Macaca mulatta: one gene and its partners. The protein of the gene in region 2 interacts with the protein of the main gene of each other region in a biochemical or structural test. Links are inferred from orthologs where the notes say so. Each region holds a gene or a part of one and is shown on either strand. Other genes may lie near its edges.

Region 1 (5,403 bases), on a different chromosome or scaffold from region 2:
CTCCTTTTTGTTTTGAAAAAGTGTTTTGAATTTTATTTTGCTTTTATGTTTTGTGAAAGATTTAGGGCATATAGGATTTTGTAAGCTTTATCCATAATTTGGTAAACTTTAGGTATGTCCAGCTACCAAACTTAAATTTTTTTTCTTTCTCTGTAGAGCTGCTCTGGATAAGGCTACTGTGCTTCTGAGCATGTCTAAAGGTGGAAAGCGTAAAGATAGTGTGTGGGGCTCTGGAGGTGGGCAGCAATCTGTCAATCACCTTGTTAAAGAGGTAATGATTGGGTATTGTCTTTAACTTAATTTACATGTATTCCTCTGAGTGAAATAAATTGTGGCTACTAGCTGTTATTTTTATGGACAAAAATTAAGTTCGGTCTTACAGCTGTAATTGGAAAATGAAATAATTCTTTTATATTTGACTTTATGAGCTTTTATTATAAATTATATGATAAAAAATGAGTCTGTTAAAAGGGCTTTCATGAATAATTATAAGCAAGCCATCTATGAACTTCAAAGGAATGCCTGAAATCTTTCTCTCATATTATTATTTAATAATTTTCAAATGCTGTTGAAATGAGATTTTCTGTCTTTTAGCTATTCAATAAATATGCTTTTATATAAGTAAATTAAAACTAGATAGTCTTAAATAATGAGTTAGGAATTATGAGCACTAGAGTAGATCAGAGTGTTAGATTTTTGTGAGGACATTCACTACCCATATGCGTGTTTTAAAAGAAAATTGATAGTAATCCCAGTACTTTGAGAGGCTGAGGCAGGTGGATTGCTTGAGGCCAGGAGTTCGAGACTAGCCTTGTCAACATGGTGAAACCCCATTTCTACTAAAAGTACATAATAATTAGTCAGGCATGGTGGTGCGCACCTGTAATCCCAGCTACTCAGGAGGCCGAGGCACCAGTATTGCTTGAACCCAGGAGGCGGAGGTTGCAGTGAGCCAAGATCACGCCACTGTACTCCAGCATGGGTGACAGAACAAGATTGTGTCTCAGAAAAAAAAAAAAAAGCGATTTATTGCATTAAAATGCCAGATTTATTTCCTGTGGATTTTTTTTTTTCTGGCTGTATTGTGGTATTCTGTAACAAGAAACCAAAAAACAAAAAAAAACTCCTTATCTGCAGATCTCTTTAAGAAAAGGCATGCAACTAGAAGATTTGTAGTTCATGTGCTTCTGATTTTTGAGTATAATCTTTTCATGTAACTGTAATTTTGATTTTTAGTAAATCTTTTAATGAGGGGTGTGTGTGTGTATGTGTATCTAGCTTAAGTGTTAAGGAGTTCAAAATGTAGTTAGAGCCCTTGACCATTTTTGCTTTTATATATGTTAAAAGAGATGAGTCAGTGTTTGTAATGTTGTGATTTAGTATCTGTTTTTAAAAATTAAATAATAATTAGAAAAATTGAGGTATAAAAATAGTAAAGATGCCAGGGCAGTTAGGCAGGAAAGATAAAAGGCATCCAGATTGGAAAGGAGGAGATAAAACTAGTTGTATTCCCAGGTAACATGATCTGTATTCAGAAAATTTGAATGAATCCACATTTTTTTAACTCCCCAAGACTGAAACCAAACTATTAACTAAAAAATGAGTTCAGAAAGGTTGCAAGATACAAGATTAGTACACAAAATTCAATTCTATATACAGTAGGAATGAATGATCTGAAATGAAATTATTGCATTTATGATAGCATCAAAAATAAAATACTTAGGAATAAATTTAACAAGAGAAATGCAAGTCTTGTACACTGAAAACTGTAAAACTTGTTGAAAGAAATTAAAGAAGACCTAAATAAATAGAATGATATCCCATGGTTATGGATTAGGATATTTAATATTGTTAAGATGGTAATACTCTCCAAAATTAATATTTTTGGAAACTGGACAAGATGTTTTATGGTGTATGAATTCTCTCTCAAGAAAGAAAATTGACAAGATAAAAAAGGAAATAAAACTACCAGTATATGAGTTTGAGGTTGACATTATATGGATATTTGCTTACATGGAAGGGTTGGATCAAAGAAGACTTTTAGAAATGTATAAATGTATTTGTAATTTATTCTCAGAAGTGCATGGAATTTGATGGGGTATATTTTTAATACTTTTAAAGTTATGTAACAAATGTTAAAAATAAGTAATATGATTTGAATAACAAGTACAGTCATGTGCCACATAATGATGTTTTGGTCAGTGATGAACTGCATGGGATGGTGGTGGTCCCACAAGGTTCTAATGGAGCTGAAAAATTCCTATCCTCCAGTGATATTGAGACAGTTGTAATGTTGTAGCACAGTTACTTTGTTTTTTCATAAATTTAGTGTAGCCTAAGTATACAGTGTTTATAAAGTGCATAGCAGTGTATGGGTAATGTCTTAGGCCTTTACATTCACTAACCACTCACTCATTGAATCACCCAGAGTAACTTCCATCCTGAAAGCTCTATTCATATTGAGTGCTCTATACAGGTGTATCATTTAAAAAATCATTTATACTGTATTTTTACTGTACCTTTTCTATGTTTAGATACACAAATACCATTGTGTTCCAATTGCCTATATCATTCAATATACTGACCTGCTGTACAGATTTGTAGCCTAGGAGCAATAGGCTATATCTTATAGCACTGGTGTGTAGTAGGCTATACCATCTAGGTTTCTGTGAGTATACTGTATGATGTTTGCACCATGACAGTCATGTAACACACTTTTCAGAATGTATCCCTATTAAACGATGCATGATTATGTATTACTTTGTAATTATAAAGTAAATATATTCAAATGCTGTGCTTTAAATATTTACTTACATGTAAATATTTAAATACATATTTACTTACATGTAAATATTACATCCTAAAGCATGACAGCAATTAAATTTTACTTTACCTTTTATGAAAATACATTATAAAAGTTGGAAGGATACTTAAATACGATTTTTTAAAATTCAGTCAGCCAGCATTCAACATTCAGACAACTAGATACGTGCCCACCAAATACAAAGAGGATTTTAACAAAGAACATATAGGCAAAAATATTCCTAGCTGAAGCTCTTGTGCTGAAAAAGTTCTCCCACTTTTTTGAGATGTTCAAGTTTGAGCAGGAAAATCAATACTTGTTTCTTTACAGCTGGAAACTGAATTATTGAACATTTTAGATAATGAGTTTCAAATTCTCAGTTGTAGAGAAAAGAGAAACTGTGTGGAAATCTTTGCCCTGTCTAGTAATACCCCATTATCATCTCTCATTTTTTGGCTCTCAGTGCACTATTAAGAGCATCTTGATAGAAGTGAAATATTTATGCCACTTTATGTTGAAACTTTGTTAGTGCCCTCTAGTGGTATTTAAAATCCCTTATTTTTAGTGGCACACTAAAGCATTATGGTCACAACCCAGGACACGTCCATTATAAACCTACTCATAGATCTCAGTGATTCAGACACACTGAAGCATTGCATTTGAGTCATAATTATGAACCATTTAAAAATTGGGGATTTATTTTTTAATTATGAAAAATTCTGTGATAATAGTACCATGTCCAGTCTATATGTTACTAGCTGTTACCCATTATTTCATTATATTGGAATGAGGGCAAATAATCCTGTAGGCAAGCACGATATTTTAAAAGTTAGGAATTCTAACACATCTCAACTTTTAAATCTAATAGATTGATATGCTGCTGAAAGAATATTTACTCTCTGGAGACATATCTGAAGCTGAACATTGCCTTAAGGAACTGGAAGTACCTCATTTTCACCATGAGCTTGTATATGAAGTAAGATTACCTTGCCATGTCAAAGAGAATTATTAAGTGTTCCTTTTTGTAGCATAGTGACTTATGCTTTTTAAATAATGTACATCCTTTTTTTAATATCAAAGGAGGAAGTGGTTTTTAAATTTTCACTATTACAAAAGGCATCTGATACATTTAGGAGCGGTTTCATATATAAATTAACCAAAAATTCACTCATTGATTCAATTTTTAGGCTGTTATAATGGTTTTAGAGTCAACTGGAGAAAGTACATTTAAGATGATTTTGGATTTATTAAAGTCCCTTTGGAAGTCTTCTACCATTACTGTAGACCAAATGAAAAGAGTAAGTATACCATTATTTTTGAACAACTTTTAGGATTATGCCTTAAATATATGATTGAATACAGATTATGAATTGTCAGTGACTTTTCTTTAGGTATGTTTAGTGTTATTATGCCTATATGTTTTATTTTTTCTTAATGGTAATGTTTGAGGTTTGAACCTTTTGCAACCATTTCTTGGAAAGTAACACTGCAGTGGGTTTTTTGTTTTTTTTTTAACCTACTTTGACAAATGTGATTATGTATTCTACCTCAAGGGTTCGGTTTCTAAGATGTGACAATTTCTATTTTATATCTAGCGAGAAACATGAACCTTTAACTTTTAACAAATTATAAAGTACTTTTTTCCTATTTAAAATTTTATGATTCTTGTTTTAAATGTTTGTGAGGTTTGTGTTTGGCCTGTATTTTTTAAAAGAACATACTAAGTGTATATAGAGAAGTAGATGGGAAAGGAGTTTGCCCAATGTCTGGTGTCTGCCTACAGCTCTTTTAAGAGAACAGTATTTAAAAAAATTTTTTTAGCTATGTAACCAATTTTACTTATTTTTTAAATTTACATTTTAAATTTTAGATATCAGAGGGGTACATGTACAGGTTTGTTAGATGGGTATATTGAGTGATGCTGAGGTTTGGGCTTCTAATTAATGATCTTGTCCCTAAGGTAAATACAGTACCTGATAGGTAGTTTTTCAACTCTTGTCCTCTTTCCCACCTCCCTACTTTTGAAATTCCCAGTGTTTATTGTTCCTATCTTCATGTCTGTGTGTACCCAATGTTTAGCTCCCACTTACAAGTGAGAACATGCATTATTTGGTTTTATGTTTGTGATAATTTTCTTAGGATAATGGCCTCCAGCTGCATCTACGTTGCTGCAGAGGACATGATTTTGTTCTTTTTTATGGCTATGTAGCATTCCATGGACGTATATGTACCACATTTTCTTTGTCTAATCCACCATTGATGGGCACTTGGGTTGATTCCATGTCTTTGCTATTGTGAATAGTACCCGATAAATATACAAATGCAGGTGTCATTTTGGTAGAATGATTTATTTTCCTTTGGACATACACCCAGTAATGGGATTGTTGGGTTGAATGGTAATTCTATTTTGAGTTCTTTGAGAAATCTCCGAACCACTTTCTACGGGGGCTGAACTAATTTGCATTCCCACCAACAGCATATAAACCTTCCCTTTTCTCCTCAACCTTGCCAGTGTCTGTTATTTCCTGACTCTAATAAAAGAGAGCAGTTGTAAAACACTGTAACAAATCTACTTTCTGTGCTTCTCACTATTCAAATCA
Region 2 (5,403 bases):
GTCCACTTTGCCGGTACCAGGTGCACATACAAATACCACAGAGAACCTCTGAGAGGCTGTGGCCCCAAATTCCAATGGTGGTTTTCTCTGGGGAATAGATTATGGGCTGTTTTCTGTTTCCTCTTTAGACTATTCTGTCTTTTTCAACGTTTCTACAAAGAACAGAAATACATAAACAACCCACCAGAACGTGTCAATCCATGTAGCTTTCCAAGACCCACAGGGGATCCCCAAGGCTGAGTGCATCCTCATGGGAATGCCTCGGGAAATGCCAGACACTTTCCAGCCTGGGTCTCACAGTGGACCTGTCTGCCTCTGCAGGACCAGAAAATCTACATCTACACCCTCAAGGGCATGTGTCCCTTAAACACACCCCAACGGGCCTTGGACACTCCAGCTGTCGTCACCTGCTTCTTGGCCGTGCCTGTTATTAAAAAGGTGAGGTCAGGGCAAAGGCGGGTATGCAGGTGTCTGATGTGCTTCCATGCCTGGGAGGCGTCTCCTAGCTGGGAACAGCCCAAAGCTGTGTCAGGGTGGGGACTGCAGAGCCACACCTTCTAGTACCACCTGGCCTAGGACACAGCCTTAGAGACAGTGGGAGGAAAGATATCAGATCTGGTCCATCATTAGTGCCTTCTGGTTTGCAAAAACCTAAGTCCTCAGCCAGACTGAGGGCCGAGTGAAAACCCCCTTTCACATGCAAATGCCCTTACTCAGGTGGAATGACTGTTGGTGCAAATGGCACAGCGAGTAGTCATGTGTGTGCCCTTCCCCTTCAGAGGGCAGTGGCATCCGGAGCCTCTTTCCCACCTGCCCAGGCCAGAGCCACCCCACAGCCACTTGGTCACCAGGTCCTGGAGGTCCTGATCTTCTTCCCTCCATCTCTGCCTCCCACCAAGTACTCACCATCTACACCAAACACAGTTTCTCCTTGTCCAGCATGGCCCTGCAGACTCATCTCTTTAACTTCCTAGCCCTGGCCTTTCTAAATGAGACCCCAAGGGGCACTCTCCCCAATAAAGGGCCCAGCCAGCTGTGCTACACCTTGGGATTAGCCCCAGCCTCTGTGAGGCTGTCCTCCGGACCCTGCCGGCCCTAGCACCCTCCCCACAAAGCACCCGACTCTTGTGCTGGGCCCTTCACATCCTAGCACCTCTTCCCAGACCGCCTCCGATTCAGCTCTCAAGACCAAAGGCCTTGGCCCCTCCTTTGAGAAGCTGCCCCTCAGTGGGAGGTAGCTCCCTAGCTTTTCCAGGCTCCTCCGCCCACAGGATTCAGGCACGGCTCAGGCAGTTCTGGTTTCATCCACCCTGAGGGGCCTGTCTGTGCAGTAGGCACCCTCGGTAAATGCACAAGAAGCCTTTACTGGTGTTGCTTTGTTAAAATGTGGTGACTGTCATCATCCAATTCCAGTTTGCCCATCTACAAAATAGGTATAAGAAGAGACAGAGAGAAGGCCTAGCATACCCAAAGGTCTAGGCCGGTGCACTTGGTAAAAGAGCATTATTATTACTTCTGGATGGAAGCAAAATACATGAACTCTTCTCTTCACCCTTCTTCAGTTTCATTTCTTTAAAAAAAAAAAAAAGTATGAAATAAACCTTAGAGTCATTTATGACCACGGCCCCACAGCAGGGCTAGGCAGCTTGGGACCCGGCCCGCACCAGAGCGCAGGAGAACACGACACAAAGTGTTATTGAGGCCACCACTGGCCAGAGCCCCCAGCCAGGGCACCACCTCCTGCACGACCAGAGGGAATAAAGCGTGCTCTGTGCAGGGCCTCCTGTGCAGGGTGTCTGCCCCCTCCGAGGCTGCCAGAGCAGAGCCTGCATTCTTGCACGCGCACGCACGTTCACACCCAGCCGGAACGTGGTGCTCACCGCCCTGGCCGGGGCCTGAGCCAGGACTCCAGATACAGACCTGGAGCCTATTTGCCTTGGCTGCCTTCTTTCCCTAAAATCCTGGGGATGGATTTCGATACGCTTTCTTACAGCATGTTGTCCTGGACAGTGAGCTACGGGTCTCCATTCCATTTCCCTGCACAGCCAGCCTCCTGAGCTCCCCAGCTCCCCACAAGGAGGCTTTCTGCCCTGCCCCCTCACTGGCATGAGGCCCAGCTCCCTGCTCTGCCCTGACTCCAGCTTTGTTCTGTAGACCTCTTCCCACCCCCACCACAGCCGACGTGGTGTCTAGGCTGCGAAGCTGCACTGTATTCCTGGCTCTGCCCTGGGAGGTGCCCTGGGGTGGTCTGGGGTGGGCCCAGCATTCAGCATGGTCCCTGCAACTTTGGCCTCTGCCCAGTGACCTCTGGCGGGTGTAGAAGAGCTCATGCTTCATTGAGAGGGTGGGGGGCACCCTGAGGACCCTGTCAATGTCAGCTCAACCACAGGCATCTCAGATAGATGTAAGCTGGGATGAGGGCTTAGCAGGCTGAGACAGGCCTCCACGAGAGGGTTGAGTAGGAAGCAATTTCTTCCAGAACTAGTTCAGCAAACACATGTCCACCTGGAGCAGGAGCCAGGTGGAGTCACAGGGCCACCAAGATGAAGGAGACTGAGCCCTTCCCTGTGCCAGGCCAGTGCCACGGGGATGCTGGTAGGCTGGGAGCCCGTCCTTATGGAACACTCCAGCTGGTAGGGGGTGGCAGGCAGGGGGCAGTGCACAGACACTTGCCATGCCCACACTGCCGTCACATTAAGCACACCCAGAAAAGGGCGGGCACCAGGTCCTGCCTCTGAAGGAGGCCTTGGTGGCCTCAAGGAGAAGGCAGCTCCCTGCTGCTCGCCCTGCAAGAAGCTGGCACAAGCAGAGGCGGCCCATGTGGTCCAGGTGACACGCGGTCTCACTTGGTGCCACAGGCCCTGCCTCTCGCTGGCATATTCCTTTCTTTGCTGCAGGGATGGTAGACATGGCTCTGCTGAGTCAGAGCTCACTTCCTTAGGAGCAGCCCCAGCCTTTCTAAGAGCTTGGCTGCCCTGAAGCGTGTTGGTGGAACGTGTGAAATGGAAGGATGTGACCCATCCCTGTCTCCTTCCTGCAGAATTCCTACCTGGTCTTAGCGGGCCTTGCCGATGGGCTTGTGGCTGTGTTTCCCGTGGTGCGGGGCGCCCCAAAGGACAGCTGCTCCTACCTGTGCTCACACACAGCCAACAGGTCCAAGTTCAGCATCGCAGACGAAGACGCACGGCAGAACCCCTACCCAGTGAAGGCCATGGAGGTGGTCAACAGTGGCTCTGAGGTCTGGTACAGCAATGGGCCGGGCCTCCTTGTCATTGACTGTGCCTCCCTGGAGATCTGCAGGCGGCTGGAGCCCTACGCGGCCCCCTCCGTGGTTACGTCGGTCGTGTGCAGTTCTGAGGGCAGAGGGGAGGAGGTCGTCTGGTGCCTGGATGACAAGGCCAACTCCTTGGTGATGTACCACTCCACCACCTACCAGCTGTGTGCCCGGTACTTCTGTGGGGACCCCAGCCCCCTCAGGGACATGTTTCCCGTGCGGCCCTTGGACATGGAACCCCTGGCAGCCAGCCACACTGCCAACCCAAAGGTGCCCGAGGGGGACTCCATCGCGGACGTGAGCATCATGTACAGTGAGGAGCTGGGCACACAGATCCTGATCCACCAGGAGTCACTCACCGACTACTGCTCCATGTCCTCCTACTCCTCATCCCCACCCCGCCAGGCTGCCAGGTCCCCCTCCAGCCTCCCCAGCTCCCCGGCAAGTTCTTCCAGCGTGCCTTTCTCCCCCGACTGCGAGGACTCAGACAGGCTACACGAGCCCGGTGCTGCCTCTGACAGGTCTGAGCATGACCTGACCCCCATGGACGGGGAGACCTTCAGCCAGCACCTGCAGGCCGTGAAGATCCTCGCCGTCAGAGACCTCATTTGGGTCCCCAGGTAAGTCTCCCGAGGTGAGGGCACCATCGAGGGCATGCCCACAGAGCAAGGAGACCCCCTGGGAGCCAGGGAGACCCGCTGGCTTCCTTAATGGTCATGTGGGGACCCAGCAGGTGCTGTGCTTCCAAGAAGGTTGGTTCCCTCCGTTGGGAATGGGAGTGATATATTTAGCAAGTCTAAGAGTGGTTGCACCGAAGCTTATTGCCTGCCAGAGAGCTTAAGGTGCCACACAAGGAAAGCCACAATCAACTGTGATTCAGCTTCCACTGGGAAACTTCTCCTCTGCTTTGGGGTCTGTCCCCTCCCCATAACTTAATCCCTTAGCAGAAACTGCATGTCCGTTGCCTCCCTCCCGCACCCTTCTGCACACCGGCTTCATTCCCCTGAGAGCACGGCTACCGACAAAAACGCTTCCCCTTCTGGGTTTTGGTTGCTTAGGCGCGGTGGAGATGTTATCGTCATTGGCCTGGAGAAGGATTCTGGCGCCCAGCGGGGCCGAGTCATCGCCGTCTTAAAAGCCCGAGAGCTGACTCCACATGGGTAAGACTGAGTGGCAGCTCCTTTAGGACCCAGGCAGCAGCATGAGCACAGAAGGCCCCATAGCCAGGTCTTGCACAGTGGCTTTGCTGCCCCTCCATTCTCCCAAATAGTGTATCCACCAACTTGGCTATAAGGCAAAGTGGAAACAAGATGGGGCCCCGCAGACAGCTCCAAGGGGCTCCACACTGGCCATGGCTCCCTGTTTCTGGAGTACCCAGTGCACCTGTAGATCAAGTACCCTACCTAACGAATGCCTCCAGGGCCAGAATTCAGCTGCAGTTGACATGCAGATGCATCCAGGTGATTGATTCACTGTTCTTCCTGCCAAGCAGGAAACCCTACCCGAGGTGTCCACCTGCCCACACAGCACCCTATGGGGACACATGACATAGGCACACCTTGTCATCTCCAAGCCTGGGGTCTCAGCTCCTGCCCTTCCTGGGCTGAGGCATGGTTCAGTAACTGTCTGTGGGTGAGTCCCCCCAGGATTATGCCAGTCTCCTCTGCGAGGGTATGCTGGGCAGGGTGGCCTATCCCGAACATGGTCTACATGGCTGGAGTGATATGAGGCTGGTACCAGCTGCAGCTCCCCACAGTGTTTACACCCCTCACTTTGACTACCGAGCCCCACATGGTAAATCTCCCTTATGAAAAGTCCTCAATTCAAATTGTGTGTGTGTGTGTGTGTGTGTGTGTGTGTGTGTGTGTGTACTTTGGAGCTCTTCCACTTCACACTAGGCCTGTTTTCCTGTAGCGTGAGTTATCCCCCATCCCTGGGCAAGTGGGTTTTTATTTCATAAGAGGGTGGAGAAACCCCACTCAGCTTGTTTCTCCCAGAGCAGGACAATGACCAAGGAGGCATCCATGGCAGTCTCACTCCCTTGCCTGCCAGCTTTGAACTTTGGCAGTGAATCCCGGGCCAGTGAGCCTTGCTCTGTTAGTGGTTCTGGAAGCAAGATCTGGATCTGC
Region 3 (4,126 bases), on a different chromosome or scaffold from region 2:
TATACTTTTCCAAACACACACATACACAGCTTACAGTGGAATCCCAATGGAAACAAGTCAAGTGACATCTGATGTAGGATCTATAAAATGTAGACTCTGCAATAAAAAGCCAAAGGCACGTAAAAATATATTTTAACTTTAAAAATAACTTAGTTACAGTAATACTTTGCCTGTGTCTTACCAACATGTAGCTGACAGTCAAAAGTTTGCAATATAGATATAGAGGGATATATAAGAACTACAAGAAAATCCCCAAAACCCATAAGTTCAAATGTGAAAACAGAAAAGTTTTAACACTGGAGAATTCGCTATGGTGAGCCCAAGCAGTATAGAAAAGAGTCTACAAAAAGGCTTAGGTGTTAAATAAATTTTGACTTCCTCTTGCTCAGAAAATGTCGGAGTGCTGTAAAGTTCCATAAAGTTCCTCAGTGTGACTCGCTCAGACCTTCATAGCTAGTGCCAATCCTGGCCAAGCCAGATTTCTTGTGTGTCTGCAAACAATGTGTGAGCCGAACATCACCAATGCCTGCTGAAAAATGGGCTCTGACTCACTTCCTCTTTTTGCCAAGATAGGTTTTGCTGTGTTGTTTTTTCCTAAATTGTTTTTGCAAGGAGGGCATACCAGGTAAAAAAATACTTTGTAAGAATATTATTTTAGAAAACCCATCACAAAATTGCAAATACAGCTCCGGAAGCCCTTCTCTTCAACTGTGGTTAGTTTAGTTTTTGTACCTTTTACCCCAAAGGAAAAAAGTTGGCATCCTGTTACTTATTTTTATCCATGACATTCAGCACCTCATCCAAAAGTGAGGGCCCAAGATCAAGCTGCAGGGAGAGGAGGGAACCTGTAAGGTCAGAGAGGGACTCCTCTGACTTAGTCTTTCCCTTGATGAGCTCGCATGGGGCGGGATGGTCAAACATGTCCTCAGCTGGCCAGTCGGGGTACTGTTCGGACAGGCTGGAGGAGTGGCTGTCCCTGCCCTGGCTGGACTGAGATGCAGAACCGCTGGAGCCCCACGAGGTGTCTCCCTGGTGGTCTGTCCCATTCTCCAACAGACTGCTTTTCTCCTGAGCTTTTTCCTCCATGACAGGCTCGCAGCTAAGCCTGGGCAGCTTTGCTGGCCCAAAGGACTCCTGTTTGGAATTAAATGTCACCGGTGACAATAAGGGCAGCATGAGAGCTTGGGACCCTCCAATGGTCGGGAGGGAGATGGCATTTTTGAGCACCGGGGAGGGTGTTTCTGTGAACACAGAGTCCGAGGTGCTGTTGGCCCGGAAGAACTCGTTATGCCCAGGGAACTGGCCCAGGTGTGCTTTCTCCTGGTTTCCAGGTAAAAGCTCGTAGTTCCCTTGAAGAAAGGAAATATCTCCAAAGACATCGTGCTGGCCCTCTTTGCCGATGTGGATGGTGTGGCGAAAGTCTCCAAGCGGGGGACTGATCATGTCGGGAGACAGAATGTCCCTCAGTTTAAATTTCTTTCCTTTCTTGTTATTGGCTGCTTTCAGGTAAATTGGGGTCTTGGCCGGCATTTTGGAATTTGAGAATGTCTATTTTGCAAGTGGAAAAAGGGGCCACTTTCTTCACAGATGGTATATGTTTCTGAATAATCCTTTTTGATAGGAACTGTCACATCATTTTTTCAAGTGGCTTCAGAAGTGGCTTTGAAATGAGATGGGGTCAGAGAACCTTCCTGAGGTTATGGCCAAGTGAGGCTTGCTAGAGAGCCAGTTACATCATCCAGTCTTGACCACAACCAGGAGAAACCTGGAGAAGAAACCAAAGCAGGTTATAATCTAAAGACTCATTTGGGTGCCCTAGGGCCTCCCTTTTCACAAGAGCCTGTAAATAATGGCAGGGCCAGTTCCAACTAATGCGAACTTATTGTTTCCCTCCAGTAAGTGGATAAAAATTTTCACCTTAATCTTAAAGAGAAAACAAAACAGGAAAGAGAAAGACCTAAAAACCCCAAATCTATGACACCAGTACTTTTTAGACATAGCCATGAACACATCTTCTGGACATGTCTACAGTTGTAGTCATTTTCCTCTATTCTAAGAATCGCTGTAAGCATAGGATCAGTGATTTCAGCTCCTTAAATACAACTGGACTTGTTTTAAAATACATTTTCCTTTTGCTTTGATGTGCATACTAGCAAGACTAATGATATTTCATTGAGTTCCATACGTACATAAGTTAATGCAATAAAATGAATAGTCCTACAAGGGAAGGTACTGGAATTATTTAATAAGTGACAATAACTTATATGCTACTGTCCTATAAAATATTAGTGGAATACATTCTTACAGATAAGAAAATGGAGATTCAGAATAAGCCCTTCCCCCAGAAAGTTACCTTTTCTCAATAACATATAGCCAATAAACAAGACAGCTAGAGTTGGAATTGGGTTGTGGCAAAGTATTGGGCTGTCGAGGATGTCAGGATTTGAAGGCATTTTGAGGTGGGAGGAGATGAACAAAACCGCTGCACCTCAAAGAGACAACATTGTGATTTTCTATTATAGGCTGGGCCTTCACTTGGGAACACCTCTGAAACATTACTGATAAGGCTATATCCTCCCTGCAGTAGGCAGAATTCGAGGGGAGCCCCCATGATCTGCCTCCTGGTGTTAATGACTTTGTAAGTAGAACCTATGACTGGCTTCTAACCAAGGGAATATGGCAAAGGTGACAGGTCACTCCCTGATTAGGTTTCATTATAGGAGATTCCATCTGAGCTGACAAGGGAGAAGACTTGCTGGCTGTGGGGAGGTGAGCAGTTATACTGTGTGAGGGCCTATGGAAATGAAATCTGCCAACAAAGTTGGGGAGCTTGGAAGTGGATCTTTTCCCCAGTTGAGCCTCTGATGAGACCATCACCCTGGCTCACACTGAATCACAACTCAGTGAGATGCTGGAACTCAGCCCCACCCAGATTCCTGACCCACAGAACCTGTGAGATGGTAAATGTTGTAAGCCCTCAAGTTTGTGGTCATTTGTTACCAGTGTAGAAAGCTAACACATCCTCCCTGCACATACTATATGGTAAGATTAGGAGGGCATGAGCTATAAGAAGGCATTGGGGATGTAATGTCCTCTTTTGCCGATGAGATGCTCTTATCTTTAGAAAATGATCCTCCACCTCTGATGCTGACATAGAGAAGCTAAACCCTTCCCCACTGCAGGAACTCCCCAGATGAGTCTACCATGACCTCTTCCCTCAGGAGCTCCTCCCTCTGGCCGCAGAGCCTGCAGATAAATACTCCAAGGGCTGGGTGGGTTAGCTGGTGTTTTGAAGGGAGCCACATTTGCTCTGTAGCAGCTGGAGGCTGTCTGCATCTGCCCCATATTTCTTTCCTTTCAGCAAGAGTTTTAAATTCATTTACCAGTGGCAGGTGACAAGAACTGTGCTCCACCACCCACTGGCTCAGTAACAGCTAACTCAGTTTGGGAAGCAGCTAGCTCAGCGTGTCAGCATGCTGGCCAGCAACCCAGGCCTGAGAAGCCTGAGAACAATGCACAGGAGACAGCCAGCCCCACTCTGGCTTTGGGTGTGGGGAGGAGGCAGAGGAAGTACCAGGAGGTTTGCACTCATGCAGAGTGGGCTGACCATGGAGCTGCCAACAATGACATGATCGTGGGTCCTGACACTCGCTCTCATAGTTTTAGCTCTAATTTGGGTCTTGTTGTGGTAACAAAAGTTAAAGCTCACGTTCTTCCTGTTAAAATCTCAGAACTTCCTTCCTGTATGAGTATACAATGCCTAGTCCTGGCCTAGGACCCCTGCTGTTCAGAGGTAGCCTTCCTGCCCTCTGGGCACAGTGTGGCTGACTGCCTGCAGGAGCAGCTGGGTGGCCTGAGGAACAGCTGCCCACAGGAGTGGTGTTCTCAGCACACATGGCCAGGAAGGCAGCTGCCAGGGAAAGATACAGTTTGTCCACCACAACTCAAGGGCATGCCAGGACTGCCTGGGGTCAGCCGATGGAGGCAGGGTTATGCAAGGCCAGGTCCCAGGGTAGGGTGTTCCAATTATTTAAAAAAAAAAAAAATTGATCACTTAAGGCCTGGAGTTTGAGGTCAGCCTGGGCAATGTAGCAAGACCCTGTGTCTATGAAAAAAAGTAGCTGGG
Region 4 (5,029 bases), about 56 Mb from region 2:
CCGAAATTCTAATTTGCTGAGACAAATGAGGCATATATTCCCTATTCCAGCATTCCGTTGTTTTTTTGTGCTGTTTGGATAATGACCGTTTTATTTGTTTTATTCCTGTTTTGGGGCAGTTAGAAATCAGATATTTGACTTAAAAATCAGCTTTTCTTTCTTTGAAGATAATGCTTTGCCTTTTTAATGTTATATGTCAAGTTAAAAACATGGCTGTAATGTGTATGTATTCTTTTCCATTTGACAGAAAATTCATTTGCAAATTGCCCGACAAAGGTAAAAAGATCTTTGACTCTGTTGCCAAACTGAAAGCTGCTGTTGCAGAACATGAAGAAGTTAGAAGAAAAAGTGAACTGTTTCACCCTGTTAGTTTAGACTGTAAGCTAAGGCAAAAAGCAATTGCAGAAGTTGATGTGGGTACAGATAAGGCCCAGAATTCTGACCCGATACTTGATACTTCATCACTAGTTCCTGGGTGTTCCTCTGTAGATAATATCAAGTCATCTAAAACAACCTCACAAAACCAGGGACTTGGACATCCTACTCATGAAGGTGATGGAGAGACTCCAGAGGTTGAATACACAGTGATTAAGGGCCCAGCTTCCAGCAACAGAGACAGGGTACCGTCTTCATCTGAAGCTAGTGAGCATCACCCGCAGCGTCGTGTTTCAAGTCAAGCAGAAGATACTTCCAGCAGCTTTGACAACCTGTTTATTGACAGGTTACAGAGGATCACCATTGCAGACCAAGGTGAACAACAGTCAGAAGAAAACGCAAGTACTAAGAACTTGACAGACCTTTCTAGTGGGACTCAGAAGAAGCCTCATTACATGGAAGTGCTAGAAATGCGAGCCAAAAATCCAGTGCCCCAGCTGCATAAATTTAAAACCAATGTGTAAGTACCATCGGAAACAGGCCTATAACAGGAACATGATATTTGTTAAACTCAAAAAGTTAAGAGAAACTGGGTGTCGTGGTGCTTGCCTGTAGTCCTAGGCTACTCAGGAGGCTGAGGTGGGAAGACAGCTTGAGTCCAGGAGTTGTAGACCAGCTTGGGCAACTTATAATAAGACCTTTTCTCATAAATAAGGAGAATGCTCTAAGTTCCATGGGCTTTGTATGAGAATTACTTGTATTTAGGAAAGAACATATTGTGGAAACACTGAGACCAGCCTGGCTGGAGTGGAAGGTTCATGCTGAAAAATATTTAGTTTTGAAACTAAGTAATTGACAGGGTCTTAAATAGCACTTGGGGGAATATTAAATTTCAGGACGCTTAGCCAATATTTCATAATAAACACAGAGTTGGAGAGAATTTATTATGATGTCTTTTTTTCAGAACTATTTTTTAGTGTACAGCTCTAATTAGTGTACTATCAAAGTGTACTCTCTTTGATTAGTCTGTGAACTAAGGATAAAGCAATTGCAGGAGCTGATCGGCTTTCCAGCAAAAATTATTTGTATGCTCACTGAATGTAAGCAAGCAGCAGGTGTTGTGGGGACACAGTGAAGTCAAGATTCTTAAACTTCTTTGCCTTTTTGATGTTATACCTCAAGTTTAAAAACATGGCTGTAATGTATACATGTATAATGTAATACAACACCATGTTCTTCAAGGAGTTTCAGAGCTAGATGAGGACACAAGGTTTACACCCTTGGAAAAGAGTTAAGCTACATAATAACAGTTTCAGGGGGAAGGAAGCTGAGGAGAGTTTGAAAAACTGAAAATAGATTCAGGCAGGATAGGCAGAAACTCTCCTTATCAGTTCCTTGCCATAAATTTGTTTCTGAAATTTCAGGAAAAGTAAAGTCTTTTTGAAAATAATTGCTATTTACTTGCAGCAAATGTAACATTCAACTCAAAAGGTACCTTCCTATACTGTATTTACAAGTATGTAACATCAAATACAAAGTTAAATTACTACTACCTTTCTTTGAAAAACAGAAAATCTCTAGTGAAAAGTGCCTAACACATGCTTCTTTTTTGTTAGACTTTAACTCTACCCCAGCATTCATTTTAACCGCAAAACATTTTATTTCTGCCGTATAGAAAATCAGGATTATACTGCATTAATGTGATCAAGTCATCTCTTGTGTACAGTGAGGTGTCTTTCTTCACTTCCAGGATGACATTTTAGGAAACTAGAACCATCATCTAGTCAATAAATACAACAAAGAATACATTAATCCCAGTTCTGTATTACGGTCATTTAGCTGGGAGTGGGAGAGAGGTAAGGGAATAGTGATGAGGGCTACCAAGAATTCAGGAAGTTGAAGAGACAGGGAGCCTTCTGTATAGTTAGAGGAGAACAGGAAAGACAGGGCTTTGAGGAGTCCTTATGCCATAGACAAGGATTTAGAGGGTTCCATGTGAGAAGTGGCTTGGAGGTTGGAAGGTGGGGTCATTTAGTGTCCTTGGGTCCTTTCTGCTCTTCCTTCTGCATACTCTTCTGGTTTCATGTATCACCTGGATGCTGGAGGCTGACCCCTGTCCACCTCTATCCCAGATCTTCCCAGAACTTTAGGTTTGCATAGCCAATTAACCATGAAACTTGACCACTTGGGTGTTCCTAGGCACCTCAGCTTAATCATGTACAAAGTGGAACTTCTGTTTCTTTCCAAGGTAATTTCCATATTTCCTAATAGGACCACTACGTTCTTTGTTTTCTTCCCCTAAGGTATCTTCCATTTTTCTCATCTCCGTATCTGCTAGCCATGAAGACCTACTTATTTCTTTGATCTTCATCTCTATAATTGTTCTTCATCTTCTGTCGAAGTGAAGACTCTCATCTCTCTCGGGCTATAATTGTGGCCTCTTCTACCTCTAGTCTTATTAACTACCAGTCAGTCTCCACTGCTGCCAGAGTGAAATTTGTAAGATGGAAATCTGAATTTGTTACGGAGAACTCTTCATTGCAGTCTGGGCCCAGCCTACTTCCCAGCCTTCTTTCTGGCTGTCTTTTCTGTGTAGCCAGAAAAGCTGAGTCTCTCTACCTTCTGTACTTTCTCTCACTCCCCTTGCTGGGATGCACTTCTCTCCTTATTTAAATGGTAAGCAGTTATTCCAAGACTCTTCAAAGCTTTTTAGAAGCTTTTCTTACAGCCTCCCTGTCTCCCACTAGAACTGGCCATTTCCTAATGTTCCAGTGTATCTTGTTGAGATATCTGCCATAGTACCTCTGGTATTATATTGCACTGAAACTTTACATGTTTCTTTCTTTCTACTGGGCAATAAGCCCTTTTGCAAATGTTCTTTGAATGATACATGAAAAAAAAAAAAAGCTCCAGATGAAATATAAGGTTTGAATAAGGAAGGAAAAGGCAAGAGCCTGTGTGCACACAAACACACCCCTGTTTGTTAGAGCAATAAATACTGGTAAACTGCTTACTATTACCTTTGGAGGAGAGTTAATTGCTGAGGTAAAGCTCATTTGTGTGAATGTTTTAAATGTGTCTACAAATAAAATAGTCTGATTATATAGCACAAGTTTTCTTTTCATCAGGTTACCTTTTCGACAAAATGATTCGTCTAGTCATTGTCAGAAGAGCGGGTCTCCTATTTCCTCAGAAGAGCGGCGGTGCAGGGATAAGCAGCATCTTGATGACATCACAGCAGCTCGGCTTCTACCGCTTCACCATATGCCTACGCAGCTGCTCTCCATAGAAGAATCTTTGGCACTTCAGAAACAACAGAAACAGAATTATGAGGTATTTAGAGTATTATTTTTTTTCTTGTCTGTTTGTTTGGTGCCTCTTACATAAGCCAGAATTTACTCCAGGTTCAAGGAGGAAGGAATGGAATAGAGGGGATTAGGTGCTTCCATGAGCTCAGACCTATGCCACTAGTTTTCAGAGACCTATGCCATTAGTTTTCAGAGTCATAAAGTTGCTAGAACTGCAGGAAATGGCTAGAGATGATCACAGCTACCTTCAACATGAAAGTGGTGATTTGCCAGGAAATGTGGGGAGACTATTGTAGAATTTCGTGTCTTGAAGCTCATGTACCTGCCTGTTCCTGTTAGGATAGTAGTAGCATCGCATCTCTCCCTTTCACCTTGTAAAACCCATGTGACAGCTTCTGAGTGGTGGACTGTAACCCAGACCCCTTGTTAGAGAATGAGGAAAATGTAGTTCCCAGGCTTCCATCTCCTGCAGTACAGGGGAGGGCATAGAAGGAGTGGGAGGATAATGTTGTATAGCCAGCAGACAGTGAGACACTGTTTCAGAGCATAATCCGCAGGCCTATGTGAAGAGAAAAAATCTGCTTTTGGCAACTTAATCAATTTTGCATAGCACTTTGTTTCCATGTGTTTTGCATTGAACTTTAAACTTATATGTTGAGAGTTTGTATACAGAGTAATGGGATGGGAGAAAATAAGTGTGAAGCACCACAGGGGAATAGAAAAGTTTAGAAGTATTTAGTAACAATTTTAGCCTCCAGGAGAACAGTATCCTGTCTCACTTCCTAGGTGTTGCTTAGCTAGATTTTAGTCAGGTACTAGTGTACCAGCCAGTATCACACCAGGCTGTTCAGGAGTTCGAGACCAGCCTGGGAAACATAGCTAGACTCCATCTTTACCAAAAAATTAGCCGGGCATTGTGGCATGCAGCTGTGGTCCCAGCTACCCGTGAGACTGAGGTGGGAGGATTGCTTGAGCCCAGGAGGTCGAGGCTGCAGTGAGCTGCAATCGCACCACTGCACTTTGTATAGTCTGGGTGACAGAGTGAGACCCTGTCTCAAAAAAAACCCAGCAAAACAGGCTGTTAATCTGCCTTGGCTTTTCATAAAAGCCTTGGCATGGATTGGCATTTTCAAGGTGCTCTTTTTCAAAAAACCCATATTTCTTTCTCTCAGTGCATTAAAATTACTGCCTAGTTATGACCGTAGCATTGAGGAAGTGTTTATTGTCTCTGGGCTCTTAAATGCCCATCCTAAGATATTTTTAGGTTGAATTAAACCCTTTATCTTTAAATTGGTTTTCTTGGCAGAGGTAATAGCTCCCACTTTTACTTACCCATATTCATGGCT

The links. The genes of interacting proteins can lie anywhere in the genome.
Region 1: the proteins of LRRK1 (region 2) and PDCD4 form a complex in vitro, tested with the Homo sapiens proteins (2 studies listed by BioGRID and IntAct, with this or other methods). The link is inferred for Macaca mulatta from reciprocal best matches to the Homo sapiens genes LRRK1 and PDCD4.
Region 3: the proteins of LRRK1 (region 2) and CDC42EP3 form a complex in vitro, tested with the Homo sapiens proteins (2 studies listed by BioGRID and IntAct, with this or other methods). The link is inferred for Macaca mulatta from reciprocal best matches to the Homo sapiens genes LRRK1 and CDC42EP3.
Region 4: the proteins of LRRK1 (region 2) and POLR2M form a complex in vitro, tested with the Homo sapiens proteins (2 studies listed by BioGRID and IntAct, with this or other methods). The link is inferred for Macaca mulatta from reciprocal best matches to the Homo sapiens genes LRRK1 and POLR2M.

The regions. Positions count from the first base shown.
Region 1 is NC_133414.1:123,073,777-123,079,179, forward strand, and holds part of PDCD4 (programmed cell death protein 4), read left to right. Parts: intron 1-156; coding exon 157-271; intron 272-3,671; coding exon 3,672-3,779; intron 3,780-3,990; coding exon 3,991-4,101; intron 4,102-5,403. UniProt on the Homo sapiens protein: Inhibits translation initiation and cap-dependent translation. May excert its function by hindering the interaction between EIF4A1 and EIF4G. Inhibits the helicase activity of EIF4A. Modulates the activation of JUN kinase.
Region 2 is NC_133412.1:91,432,322-91,437,724, forward strand, and holds part of LRRK1 (leucine-rich repeat serine/threonine-protein kinase 1), read left to right. Parts: intron 1-321; coding exon 322-438; intron 439-3,040; coding exon 3,041-3,894; intron 3,895-4,332; coding exon 4,333-4,434; intron 4,435-5,403.
Region 3 is NC_133418.1:87,288,390-87,292,515, reverse strand, and holds part of CDC42EP3 (cdc42 effector protein 3), read right to left. Parts: intron 1,766-4,126; 5' UTR 1,531-1,765; coding exon 766-1,530; 3' UTR 1-765.
Region 4 is NC_133412.1:35,012,892-35,017,920, forward strand, and holds part of POLR2M (protein GRINL1A), read left to right. Parts: intron 1-247; coding exon 248-895; intron 896-3,503; coding exon 3,504-3,708; intron 3,709-5,029.